2 linked regions of the Oreochromis niloticus genome follow. The protein of the gene in region 1 interacts with the protein of each later gene in a pairwise test. Links are inferred from orthologs where the notes say so. Each region holds a gene or a part of one and is shown on either strand. Other genes may lie near its edges.

Region 1 (7,529 bases):
TTTCCAGGAGGAAGTACAAAGACCAACAAGTAACAATCTAGTTCTGCATTTCATTCTTTATTTACTTACTGTAGTCTGCCAGAGTCCTTTCGTCCTGCAGCACTCTGCCCTGGTAGATCAGCCTCTGTTTATCCACCGGTATACCCACTGATGGGGCAATGTGCTCCTTGAACTCTTTCACCGTCAGCTACAACAAAGATTGAACAGACATGAGTAACACCACAGGAAAGATGAACTAAGAATAAGAATTTCCTCCTGAGTTTGCACCATGCATGTACTTACCTGAGCGCCAACAGTGTAGGTTCTGCTCTGGGAGTCTAATGTTTTCACCGTCACCTCTATGTCAGCAGTTTGTTCTTCCATTGTGTTCCTGTAACAGAAAGATGTATTTTCCATTTATAGCTCAGCTGAAACTGGATTCTTAGGGTAAATATGATGACTGTTATGTGAGAGTTTAAACACTTTGCTAATTTGAAATCCTCTCATATTTCTTTCTTAACATAAACATCTATTTTAAACATCTCTGTGAGATGTGAAATGGAACATTTGGGACTAATTAGGACAATTTACAGTATAAAACAAAGACTCTCACTTAAATTATCACAAACATATCTTTTGTCATTTGATACTTGCTGACTCAAAGGGTCCGTAAAAACCTGATGTGCCGGCCAGTAATTACCAACTGATACTGCTCCTACAGCTATGGCCAATGATAATGTTTATTCTCAATTAATGTGTTAATAATTACTCACACGGTCTATAAAATGTAAAAAGAATATATGAAAATAGCTTCAAAATATTGTGGTTGTTGTAACTCATAGGTTAAAAAAAAAATATTCAGAAATGTAGAACATATAGGAAACAAAACACTGTGTGGACCTACAGCAAAATTAAAAAAAACAACAAAACCACCATAAAATGTTAACTACAATACTTTTATTTTCAAAAATATGTGCATACTCTTGTAATAATAATTAACAATATTTAACTATTATTTATTTACAGCAATTTTTCTCTACTAATGTTTTCTCAGTTATCTTCCTCTTTATTGGTGGACCACTCATGATGTTGTGGCACTAATGTGGCAAAATACTATTTCCTCACTTATCATTTTAAATGTTAAAGTTCATGATAGTACATTTATTAAAAGACTGAACAAGTTGACAAAAGGGCTGCCACAGCCATCTTTCTCTTTAAAATGAACACAATTAGATTTGCAAACTTGCATCTAAACAAACTACAAAACTTTTGGAACAGTGTTTTTTGGACGGACAAGACAATTGTGGAGATAATTGGCCATAATACAAAGTGCCAGTGGTTTAAACCAAACACAGCATATCAGCATAAACGTCTCATACCAACTGTCAAGCAAGTGGTGGAGGGGTGATGTTTTGGGCTTGTTTTGGAGTCTAGGATGTGGGCACCTGCAGTCAGTGAGTGGATCATAAATTTCTCTGTATGTTAAAGTATTCTAAAGACAAATATAAAGCGCCTTGAGGCGACTGTTGTTGTGATTTGGCGCTATATAAATAAAATTGAATTGAAATATGAGGGCATCTTTTCAATAACTAACCCTTGTGTACAACAGAACAGCTAAAAAAACCCCCGAAAGAGTCAAGGTGTTGTAATGAGCAAATCAAAACAAAATCTAAAGTTCATACTGCAATCTGATGTAATGCTGTGACAGGAGAGCTTTGTATAAATGAATGCCCGCCAACCTCAATGAACTGAAGCATAAACCATGTATAAAGAAGAGTGAGACTGATAATATCATACAGATAAAGATTACTTCAAGCTGATGCTGGTTAAGGTGTTTCAATAAGCTACTGAATCATGTGTGTACTTAGTTTTTCAAAGGACACATTTACACAGAACACACATGCTTTGTGATCAAGATCATGCTAATAGTAGACAATGTAACACGTGGGAGAAGATGATGTGAGAGACTGATAATGTCTTACAGAAAACCATTACTTCAATTTAATGATGCTAAGGGTGATTCTACAGGCTACTGAATTATTGGGAGCCCATAGTTTTGTTTTTGTTTTGTTTTTTTAGACACTACTTCTGCATTTTGAGTTAATTGTTGTTAAACTTTAACACAGTGTCATATGTCATATAAGTATGTTATAATTTTCAGGCGTAGTAACAAACTAGTTATTATCACCGGATTTGAAAAGCCTTAAAAATAAATAGAAGATGCATTATGCTTATACCATGGCAAGGATAAGGTGTGTATTGTTTTCCCTTTCATTTCATTTGAAATGTTTATCTAAAGAATATTTTTTCGCCACCATCTTACTTGTCTTGACAGCTACGCAGCATATGGATTTATAAAGAAAATAGTGCCGTCCGCAGGTGCAGAAAACTTCACAGAGTTGAATGTTCCTCAAAACCAGCAACAAAAACACGCAGCAGTTTTTTTCGTGCAAACCACCGATGTAAAACCGAAGGACACAGCTGAGTCTGATCAGCGAAACACTTGCTCGTGTTGTTTTGGAGTTTGCGTGCTCGGTAACAGCGTAATGTTGAGTAGTTAGCCGAGGAACCGAGGCTGCTTCATGCTGGGCCAGACACCGACGTGCACTATCTTTATTTAAACTCTTTTTATTAATTTAACTCTTAGAACAGTGGTATTTGACTCTATTTCTATTTAGCAGAATTTACGTGTAACAGTAGCTTACTTAACCACCAAAGGCTTGCTAGCATGAATTAGCTTTGCTTAACTTGGAAACCTGGCAGACGTCACGAACGAAGCTAACTTTGAGCTAACTAGCTAATGCTAAAGCTACTAAAACGGAACGTTAAAATTAGCTTAGCAATCCGAAACAGAGTGAAATTCGTTTTAATTAAGTCTGTGTCGTTAAACAGTTACCTTAGAAGTTACTATCCTCTCGACTTATCCAGTGTATGCAGCTGTTTTCTTATCATCAGCTAGCATGCAAACGACTTCCCTGTAGCTGCTCTGGTACTTGCCAGAAACTGCCAGGCTACGCGGATATGACGTCTAGGCGGCACCGGAACCACTGCGCGTGCAGAGGGTGAAAGGAAAGAAAAATGGCGAATCTCGTGGAGGCGACTACTCAACAGCAGTTTGAAGATTTCTTAGCCAAAGCTGGAAAATGCCTTACCGTGGTGCATTTCCAAGCGGCGTGGGCTCCTCAGTGTGGCCAAATGAACGAGGTGATGGCCGAACTGGCCAAAGAACATGCGCACACTACGTTCGTGAAGCTAGAGGCGGAAGCGGTCCCGGAGGTGTCGGAGAAGTATGAAATTTCCTCCGTCCCCACTTTCCTTTTCTTCAAGAGCGGAGAGAAAGTGGACCGCCTGGACGGGGCTCACGCTCCGGAACTGACTAAGAAGGTGCAGCGCCTCGCGGTGAGCGAGGGACCCGGTGGAGCCGCTGAGGGCAGCGGCGCAGATCTGAACCAGCGGCTGAAGAAGCTAATCAACGCCGCCCCCTGCATGCTCTTCATGAAGGGGTCACCCCAGGAGCCCCGCTGCGGATTCAGCCGACAGATAGTTGCGCTGCTGAAAGAGCACAACATCCAGTTCAGCAGCTTCGATATCCTGTCCGATGAGGAGGTCCGACAGGGGCTGAAGACGTACTCCAACTGGCCCACCTACCCCCAGCTGTATGTGAACGGGGAGCTGGTGGGAGGACTGGACATAGTGAAGGAACTGGCTGAGTCCGGAGAGCTGGAGAACACCTGCCCGAAGGCTGTCACCTTAGAGCACCGACTGAAGACCATCATCAATCAGAGTCCAGTCATGCTGTTCATGAAGGGCAACAAAGAGGCTGCCAGATGTGGCTTCAGCAGGCAGATACTGGAGCTCTTGAACGGTACCGGGGTGGATTATGACACCTTTGATATCCTGCAGGATGAAGAAGTGCGGCAGGGGCTCAAGACTTACTCTAACTGGCCAACCTACCCTCAGCTCTATGTGAAAGGAGAGCTTATCGGTGGTTTGGACATTGTCAAGGAGTTGAAGGAGAGTGGAGAGCTGGTATCAGTCCTGAAAGGGGAGTCGTAGATGGATCTGCATTGGCTATCTGAGGGAGGGAACAAGAAGCTGCTGCACATACCCAGATTAGCTCCAGTAACCCTGCAGAAGGGTCAAAATATTCTCTAGTAACTAATTGTATTGTAGCAGGGGGATAGATTCACTCTAATTACAGTCAGAAATGAAACTGCTGTCAACAGTAAGAATTTACATCTGTTTTTCTTTCTGGTAATGATTGTTACTGGAAAGCTGGGCTTCTAGAAATTCTTGAAAATACATCTGAAGATTTGTTTAACATGACATTTAAGTAAATACTTCTTGCTGTCTGATTCTTGGAAAAATGATGACGTTAGTTCACAATATCTGCATTTCTTGGGATTATAGCTTTCCTTCCAGTGTTGACAGCCTCACACTTCAGTATGTTATGTAGACTTTTATTTTCCTACCCAGGCCAGCTGCTCACTGTTCACACCGTCCTGTCTGCACATTCTCCACCTTTAAAGTCCGAAAAGCTGTTTTTAGCTCTGTGCAAGGATCACTCTGGTAACAAGCTATGTGTGTTTGTCGGTAAGATTACAATTAAAAATTAAAACAACTTAAAGTGTTTTTTCCCTTTATTGTTTAATCTGTAAGCATTTACTCTATTCACCCTGTAAGCATTAGGAACCTGAGGAGACAACTGTTGTAGATTTTTTATTTATTCAGTTGAGGAGACAATACAATAAGAGACGAGCCACCCTGTAACAATGAAGCAGCTACGTTGAAGCGTAAGATTTAACAGCGAGGTAATAGAACTAATAAAGTCTGGCCAAATATGTGTGATTCTACTGAGTGGTAGAAGAAAATTACCACTGTTGCAGAAATCCTTTGTTTACAACACAGTTTCAGGGATGGATATAGGTTTCTACATGGTATGGTTTTTCACTGATGCGAAACAACACCATCATGCGTGCTGGCTTTAAACTGTCCTCTGACACTAATCCCTTATGGCCCTTCTTTTTATCCAGGAGGATTTTGATTGGTTCAAGGACATTTTTCCACTTCTTAGTACAGCTTAACTGTGCAACATTTCTAGTATAAGCCTCAGATGCAAAAGCTTAGAGACCAAAATTCAGAGTTTCATTTTAATAGAAAGAGGCCGAATAATCAGTCAAAAATCCAGAAAAAACACATTACATAATAGTTTTGAGTGAAATATGTATTTAATCCCCAAGAAAAACATGACTCAGTATGTGGGGCATTTTATAAGTACATGAACTTTAACCTATTGGCAATGTGGGGAAGCCTTCCCTATTTTTACCGCTCAGCTTCAGTGAACGTCCCTCCTTTTCCCAGTTTATTTTTTCACCATTGCACCATATTTTTACTCTTTTATTTTGATGTCAAAACTTTTTTGAAGCATGTCTAAATATACTGCTTATAAAATTAAACTTGCATCAAATCTCAATTTAGAAAGAAATCAGGTCGGTTATCCATACATTCTGTGTTAGGAACGACAGGTTATCACTGAGCTCCTGGACAGTTGGAGGTTCATGTGTGTTATTTTGAAATTTAGTTAGAGCTGTGTTCCACACCTACTTCCACAAGGTGGAGTTGTTACACCTGAATAACGTTCTCCAGATGATGCACACTTGAAAACAAATAAATAAAAATCTGTTTTTCTACATCGTAAATCACATAATATTAGCTTTACCTGGCAGCGTCAGATAGAACCAAATAATGTCCCAGAGGTGTTCTATTGACTTAGGTCAGATGAGTGTGGGGGCCCAGTCAGTGGTATCAATTCCTTCATCAGTCAGGAACCGCCTACACACTCTTGCAACAAGTGGCTGGGCACTGTTGTGCTCCAGGAAGAACCCAGAGCCCACTGCATTAGTGTACTTATTAACTTACAACTCTGTAGGATCCTCGCATTGCCTTGTGCGACTGGTAGTGATAGTGACCCTAGCCAAAAGCAAAACTAGTGTAAAAACAGTCAGAAAAGATGCAGAGGGAGAAATGTCCTCCACCTGTAAAACCATTCCTGTTTTGGGGCTGTCTCATTGTTGCCCCTCTAGTGCACCTGCTGTTAATTTCATTAACACCAAAGCGGCTGAACCTGATTAAAAATTCACCAAACTGACCAGATAAATGTCCCAGAAGTTTAACTGACTTGATTTTATACTCTATTCAAAATAGTTTATCATCATTTTATTGTAGGAAATAACATAATTTGAGCGTAATTGAGTAACTGTACGCAAAAAACAGATTGGAATTGAACTAATGTGATGTGACTTAGGATGTAGAAAAAAAAGCTGTATCCTTATTTACTTTGAAGTGTGAATCATGTGGAGAAAGTTATTCAGGTGTAACAACTCCACCGTGTGGAAGCAGATGTGGAACACGGCTCTAAGCAGAATTCACAGTAGAGGCTTTTTCATACATGAGACATGAAAAGGTCAGTTATTCAATTAGCTATTCAAAATATTTTGGCAATTATTCATAGTCTGTAAAACTGGTCATCTACAGGGAATGTTTGCTTAGTTTTATTATTTATTGATTATTGTTTTGTTAATAGCCTTAAACTAAATATTCTTTGTTTTTTGATAAAATTGTTTTCTTGACATTTTTTTAAAATCAGAAGCACACCTGATTAATTGATAAAGCCATGTGTGATTCTTAATAGTCCAGTAATTTCATTCTCCCAAACCTAGTATGGGAAGACAAAACGGGAAGTTAATGATTCCTAGTGTGTGTGTGTTGACAGAAGGTGTGGGACGCGGGGCAGGATGAACAGAAACAAATAAAGTTAAAACTTCGGGTTGCTGTTTGTTAAGTTCGTGAGAAAATTTGGTTGGTTCCAGTTTAGAAATAGCCACAAACACCTCCTACATATGATGATGAGTCAGTGACGGTGAGTCTTTAGCGAGTTTATTCCTTTCACAAAATGTTGGATGAGTAAAGCTACTTGTGAGAAAGCATGTTTCAGTTTCCTATAAATGTATTTTATCCTGATGCTGAAGTTTTACATTCATGGATGCAAACATCGCATTTCCAACCTATTATTTACCTTTCAAGTTCAGGGGTAATGCTGCTGTACAGATTAATAATTTACCTCAACCCACACTGATAAAGTGGTCTGTTGGAGTATTGCACACATTCAGAGACAGTCCTGGGAGTTTCCAGGCATTTTGATCAGGATTACTACAAAGTGTTGACTTAGACTGCAGCTATGTTAAAAGAAGTCTTCTCTCTTGTTCTGTCTTTGTACACTTTGTTGTATCAGACCATTGTTCCCTGCTTGGAGCCTGAGATGCTGTCTGTGAACACGATCGATCGGCAGAAGGTGAGAGTAAAAATGAAAGATACATGTTTAGATTTATGAAAATACCAAAGGCACTTCCCCACTGGTCTGAGGTCTTTTTTATGATAACCTCAGTACGACGGGATTTACTGTTGATCTTATTGCGTAATGTTCTGGTTAAGAGCATCTTGTCTGTAAAGGATTGATATTTCACACTTACTACAACTGCAGAGAGATTTAC
Region 2 (7,220 bases), on another chromosome or scaffold:
TATCTCAGCTCCCTATCTTATGATTGTTTTACAGCGGGTCCTGCATTACAGGAATAAATTAGCTGTTTGCTTACTTGCGCTGCACTGAGTGCATCACTGAGTGGGTGACTAATTCAGATGAAACGCAAACCATGACAGAGGAAAGAGAAAATCCCCTCCTCCTCATTGCTCTTTATCTTTTCCCTCTTTGTCTCACACAGGCGTCTCCCCTGGACCACCTTCTTTACTCACTAATTAATTAGTTCAAAGAACATTAGGGAAAAAAAATCTTTGTATACTGCATTTCTTGCCCACAGACACAAACACTGTGGGCAAGTTGAATTTACGCTTTTTCTGCTCCATGCTCTGTTTGTGGAACAAAGACCTTCCACTTTTGTGGAGTGAGCTGATATCTGTAGAGCTGTCACAGCTGTGTACACCTCTCCACCCACTGTCTCAGTACATTTATTGACTCAATGTATTTTTTTTTTGCCTTTAATCTCAGTCAAAATGCACATTATTAGAGAAAAGCACACAAGTCCATCTGACCCTTGCACACTTGCCTTTGCTTGTGTGTCTGATTCTAAAGAACCTCGTCCCTTCACACACTGAGGAAAGTTTTCCTTTTAAAGTTTAAACACTGACTCTCCCATAGTTTTCCCGGCAGTAAAAATGTATCTGGGCTCTTATGGGTTAATGTCCTGAATGCTTTTTTAATGCCCTTCCATCCATTTAAAAGGGTTTATTTCATGGATGAGATATAGAGCAGAATCTGTGCGACCTGTATCAACTAAAAGGCTCAGGTCGTTCAACATTTGTAAGGCCTTGCTGTTTATATCACTTGCCATCACTCTGTGGTGGCAAGTGTGGTGTTCTATGCAGGAGTGTTCGGCAGGATGAAAGCTGCTAATGTCAACAGACTGAATAAATTCATCTTGAAGACTGATTCTGGGAGTAAAACTCGAAGACTCGGGTAGAGGTGTCTAAGAGGAGAATGCTGAAGAAATCCCTCATCATTATGACTAATACATCCCACCTGATGTATACGTCTCTGATTGGTCACCACAGAGCAGTCTCATTTTACCACATGGGAGCATTATTACATTATCACTAGTAATTTATTCTCTATTAAATTAAAAGTGATACTGTAACAGAATTACTTATAATTCACATAAGTGATATGGTGGTAAACTGAAAGTGATCATTTAATTCTTGTTAACTTATCACTGTAATAGATGGTTGTAGCTATTCATCAATTTTATTTGGGAATAATATTCATATTTGCCTATTTCCACTACTGTACATACTGATATTTAGATTTGTTTTAAAATCGTTTAAATTTTTTTTATTTAGCTTTATTTTTACCTGAGCTTTATTTTGTTATGTTAAAATTCAGTTTTGCTTTGTGCATGCTGATTTGTGCACAAATGAGCAGTGTACAAACCAGCTTGCGCCAGTCAAAGGTCCGAGGTAACTGGCCACACATCTCCAGCTATTGGCAAAGGGGTTAGGTCTTTTTGTTCCGAGTTTTAATTAAAGAGCAGGGAAATTGCTATAGCTATAATGACTTCAGGACTTACTTTTGCGGGTGATCTGTGTGTTTGCTGTGGGAGGATGAAAGTAAAAATGAAAGGTTAGAATAACTGGTGCATAGGAGAAGTACTTTTATTAAGAATTAGCTCTTACCCATAGAGCGCCTCCCCATCAGACCGATAAACTGATGTGGCTTTGGCTTTCTTGTCATTCTCAGCAGGGCTTCTCTGAACGGGTCGTCGGAAATCCAGCCATTCTGAGTGGAGGGGGAGAAGGAATGCTTACACTGAGAAGCAGAGTGGAGTGAGAGTGGATCTTATCTTTATAAAAATTTAGTGTCATCAAACTATACCTCAACTGTGTTAATACCTTATCTACCTGCTCACGTCATTATAACAAGAGAATAAAGCGGAATTCTGCCAGAACCTTATCTTAATCAATATTAGCTGACAGTCCCACCCACCGGTCCACCCACATAAAATACACCGAGTAATGCAGAATGAATTTGGATCTTTTCTTGCGATTTTCTGTTTCCATCTCAGGATTATATTCATGCAGTATGCATTAGTGTGACTGGCAATATGGATCTTTGCGCTACTAATGTCCCGCACAGAGAGATGATGCCCGTTGTGACAAAGTGCCGATATATCCAGTCGCTCCTAAAGTGTGATTAAGCTAATATATGAGCCTTTATATACGCCTTTTCAGTAAATTTGTGTATACATATAATTTTAATATTTTTTTAAAAATACAAATATGCAACCCTACAAGTGTGACGCTGGGGTTTAACATACGTCTGTAAGGGGATGTCTTTGTTCTCACAAAAAGGAAGAAAAAAAAAAACTTAAGTCAAACTAATTTCCTTATGCCTGTTAGGTGGTATATAAATTTATTCTGCTTTCATCCACTGAAGGAGACTAAAAGACGAGCTACTTTAATAGTAGTATTTATGAATTATTAAGGAGAGAGTATAACTCTGAATACATACCTGGATTTGATTAGTGCTCGTCCAGTAATCAGTGTCCTCTTTTGGGTCATTTTCTTCGCCGGAAACTTGGGCGGCGGCGATGAGAACCATTAAAACTGCTACAAGCAGAGACTTCATGATCTCGCAGCTTTTCTCTCACTCTACAACAATAAGCACTCTAATACCCAATGTATCACGATAACAGTTATCAGTCAGCAGAAATAAAGCGAGGTGAATGAAACAGGTGTGTGAGCACCAGAAGGAGCTGGAGTGTGCGCTGTTTCTTCCTCCACAAATCAACAGTAGTCCATAGCGCGTAGCCTGTGTCACAGCACTATCTCCAGCGCTGTCTGCGCACTCAGCTTCTAGAGCTGTTTGTTTCGTAAGGTCTCCGATCCGTACGCTCCTATATACCGGTGTGAATAGTGTTGCTAAGTAACGCCTTAACAGTACTATGATTACTTGAGTGAAGTTTCGGTAAGCAGCCTGTTAAGCGCAGTGATCAGAACCTGTTGTGCGTCACCGGACTTCACCGTCACTATTATGAAGAATGATGGTGACGTCATAAAGTACTGTTATCCAGCTTTCAGTCACAGTAAAAAGTCCGCTTTTCGTTGTCACAGCGCCCAAAACTTAAAAGTTGCTCCAACATGTCTGGGCCATTTGATTTAACGTTTTTTCATTGTTTGAATACTTTTGATGGAGGCCAGTATTATAGGGATATTTCTACCTAATGCTCAGTTTAAGAACATTTGTATTTAACATTTAATTTATCATTTATTCATGAAGTTTTATTGCACCAAAGGAGGAGAGTGCGTTAGTGTAGTGCAAAAAGCATCTGCATTATGCAAAAGAACTTGCAAGCGTCTCCACAGACAGCATGCTAACGCTAAGCTAGCCAAGAACTGGGAGTAATGTAAAAGCTGAGTGTTTGTCAACCCAAGCCCAGCTGCCAGACCCTGAACTTCAACAGGTAACAAATGAATGAACAGACAGACTGCATCCTCCATTTCTACAGTACAATCACCGTGGTGATCGTTTGAAGTCTTTCTGGGCTGGTTTTCATCTTTCCCAGATAGCAAGATGAGATTGAGTTAATGTTGATTTTTCATCTGAATCATCATTATGGCCAAAATATGCTAAAATCCATATTAAAATACAGATGATACCTGACAGTGTAACAGTAATGACACTGGAATAACATTGATTCAAAGTTCTCATGTTATAACTGAATGATTATTGATCTGTTTATAGTTGACCAGGCGACAACCAAGGCATTGAAAAGTAATGGATTCCTAGTTGACCTGGAAATTAAAACTATTATCAGCTGGACTGTTCCATGGGACCCCTCTCAAAGTCATTCGTCTATGGCTGACTGGGAAATTATATTGAAATTAGGTGGATTTATAGTTGACTGGGAAAATGTATTGAAATTCCATTGACTTACACTTGAAAAGTTGCAAAAATGAGCAAGATGGCAGCGTGTACGGACATATTCAGCAGCACAGCGCACCCAACTACTGTGCACCTCTTTGGGTTTTTTATGCCTTTTCACTGCGTCCTCCTGCAATGCACTGATCACTTTGTATTGTTGCCTCTACTTTTAAGATTAGGCTTAAACTTTCCTTTTTGGTAAAACGTATAGTTAGAGCTGGATCAGGTCTGAATTGGGCTGCGTGCTTATGTGGTTCAGGACTGGTGCTATAACAGCAAAATTATAGAAAGTCACTGCTCACCGGACTTAGACACCAGGTCCATTCAGTGCAGAAGCTTCTATCTACCTCGGGAGTTAACGGTAGCCATAGTTGCCATTGTTTACATCCCCCCCAGTGCTAATGTTAGCTCAGCACTCAACCACATTCAACTTCTTATCAGTAAAAACCAGAGACAGCACACAGAGGGTGTCCAAATTGTTGCTGCAGACTTTAATAAGGCATTTTTGAAATCTGTACTCCCCAAATTCCCCCAGCATGTTATGTATCCTACCAGGGGGGGCAGGACACTGAACCACGTATACAGCAACATCCAGCATGTCTACAAAGCGACACCCCTCCCCCACCTGGGACAATCTGACCACCTCATTCTGCTTTTTATGCCTGCATATATCCCCCTCAGGAAACAAACCCCTCCAAGCATCTGGGTCATTAAACATGGTCTGTTCCCTCCAACATGTTCCCTCCAAGAACATGAGGTCAGAGGGAAACTGAGAGTGGCAAACCCCAGGAGAGCTGCCAGTCCCCGACAACATCCCAGGGGCTGTGTCTAAAGCCTGCGCGGACCAACTGGCAGGGATCCTCACCGGGCTTTTCAACCTCTCCCTGACTCAGGCAACGATTCCCACCTGTCTGAAGGCCTCCACTATCATTCCCATCCCCCAAAAGGCTGGTATAGGCAGCCATAATGCCTACAGACCTATAGCCCTCACGTCTGTAGTCATGAAGTGTTTTGAGCCGGCAGTGCCTCAGCACATCTGAGACTGGCCACTCCCCTCCCTTGACCCCCCACCAGTTTGCTTACAGAGCAAATTGGTCCATGGCGGATGCCATCACCACCGCTCTTCACAAAGCACTGAGCGAAGAACAGGAAGACATCCTCACCACCAAACTGGACCACCTTCAGATCCCCGTGCTGACTGCTCCTCACTAAGTGGCCCCAATCACTCCCTTTGCACTGCTTCCAAGCACTTTGCTACCCAATGTGTGTATATCACTCTTGATTGGATATATTTCTCTTGATGGTGTATATATTTATTCTGTTTGCTATTTATTCCTGTATTTATTTTTTATATATACATATTTTTTTACTCCTGCACAGTTGGCATGGAGCATATGCTCCATATATATCAAAATGCCATTTATTTATAGTTGAAAAATCATGTATTTGTAGTTCACTATGAAATTAAAGCTATTATTGCTTGAACTATTTCCCTCTCACTGTGGTACACCCCATTGGTTCAGTAGTCATTAAGTTGACCAGCAGATGATATTTAAAAATCAAAACCAAAGAGGTGACTGCATTTTGAATACAAACCTTGAAAGACAGAAATTATTACAACCACTCCGAGTAGCTGAACTTCAGCTCTTTGGAAAGCACCTGCAACACACAGCATGTATACTAAGATAATCAAGAGTGGCATTACAGCTGAGTGAATGCCAACCCCAGCCCAGCAGCCACACTCTGAACTTCAACATAAAACAAACAGATGATCAATCAGGCTGCAGCCTCTGTTTCTTCCTGTTCATGTTTCTAAAGTAGTGATCACTGTAACAATCACTGTTAAGTCTCTTTATGCTAGTTTTCATCTTTGCTTTGTGCTGTGGGCCTGTGTAATACCAAGAGAAAGCTCATATGTGTGTCCTCATGAGTACAGGGATAAATTATGAGACAATGCCTTTTAGGTAATTTTACAGCATCACATTAAAGTAATTTAATGAGTAATATAAGGAATTACTTTATCCTGGGAGTAATTACGCATTGTGCTGCATTATTTTTGAGAAAAGTGTTCAATGTAATATGTGCAATAGTTACTTTTTTGGGTAATGACCCCAACATCGATCACAACAAAGAGTGGAAATACCTCCAACACAGAGTCGCTAAATTCTTAACAGTTCTCATCGCTAGGTAACACAAACATAACTCAATTTTAAAATCACCGCCACTTTACGAGGCACAGAGCCATCACATCATTAGTGAAGCTACAGACTGAATCTGCCAGTAGCAACAATCCCAATGCGATTTCTCTAATTGCATGTTCTAGTTTGATTTGTAAAATTTGGTTTCATATGTAAGAAATGCATGTTGGTATACATATGTCAGAAGCAAGATTTTATAAGTTCAGAATGGGTATTAATTTATAATTTACATAAATTACACATTGAGAAGGCAGCTGACTGAGTCACGTAGATATGTATCCTAATTTTTAATTTATGCACCAGTGTTTCACACTTTATATTTTTAGTTGTTCACATTTTTGTAGCTCAGTATAAGAACCTTGTTCCTTACATTAATATCATAAACTTTTTTTTCAGGAGTGGATCCCTGCATGTTCAGAATAACAGAATCATACACAAAATGTAATATTGAGAACAGGCCACTTGTGACCATGATGATCGCCGGGTGCAGGAGGGAAGTGTTCTGTCATATGAGCTGGTAGTCTTGACCAGAGATGGAAGTATTTGGCAGTATTTAAGACCAGTGCTTACAACTAGTCTTTGCCAGTTCGTCTGCTAACCCATGTTGAGATTTTGGCCAACACATTTTAAGTTCCTGTTTTGCCTACCTTGTGTCTCCTTGTATTTTAGTTTCTCACAGATCTCCATTGCTCCAACCTGGCAAGAACCTCACTTACCTGCTGGTCACTGTGAGATTATTATATTATCTTATGCCATGTTATACCCCTGATTAATGATTGTGAAATTATTATGTAGTTTTAGTTTGCTTTATTCTCCTGAAGAGGTGATAACTATTAGATTTATTAAACTGATTTGTATTAGATTAGACTGCTGATTTATAGTGAATGAATGATATTGTTTTATGATGCATTATACTGCTGAGTTATAAGAAATACCGTTTTCAGAGAGTCATGGCCTTATTTGTCTGATTAGAAGAGAACAGAACATACCAGAGAGGTTTTCTGCCCCATCTCATCAGGAGGAGATAAAACAAGGAGCCGAGGTCATAACTTAGGCGGCGTGTGAGAGAAAGAATGTGAATGTTTAGATTTTTACGACTAGGTGCGGGC

What was found. The genes of interacting proteins can lie anywhere in the genome.
Region 2: the proteins of bag6 (region 1) and tac1 interact in a two-hybrid assay, tested with the Homo sapiens proteins (2 studies listed by BioGRID and IntAct). The link is inferred for Oreochromis niloticus from reciprocal best matches to the Homo sapiens genes BAG6 and TAC1.

Annotation. Positions count from the first base shown.
Region 1 is NC_031976.2:36,171,965-36,179,493, forward strand, and holds the start of bag6 (large proline-rich protein BAG6), read right to left. Parts: upstream 3,009-7,529; 5' UTR 2,876-3,008; intron 371-2,875; 5' UTR 364-370; coding exon 283-363; intron 188-282; coding exon 70-187; intron 1-69. Other genes in the region: glrx3 (glutaredoxin 3), read left to right, coding at 3,058-4,035; apom (apolipoprotein M), read left to right, coding at 7,217-7,330. UniProt on the Homo sapiens protein: ATP-independent molecular chaperone preventing the aggregation of misfolded and hydrophobic patches-containing proteins.
Region 2 is NC_031985.2:36,816,487-36,823,706, forward strand, and holds the start of tac1 (protachykinin-1), read right to left. Parts: upstream 3,002-7,220; 5' UTR 2,618-3,001; coding exon 2,501-2,617; intron 1,769-2,500; coding exon 1,666-1,768; intron 1,584-1,665; coding exon 1,560-1,583; intron 1-1,559. UniProt on the Homo sapiens protein: Tachykinins are active peptides which excite neurons, evoke behavioral responses, are potent vasodilators and secretagogues, and contract (directly or indirectly) many smooth muscles.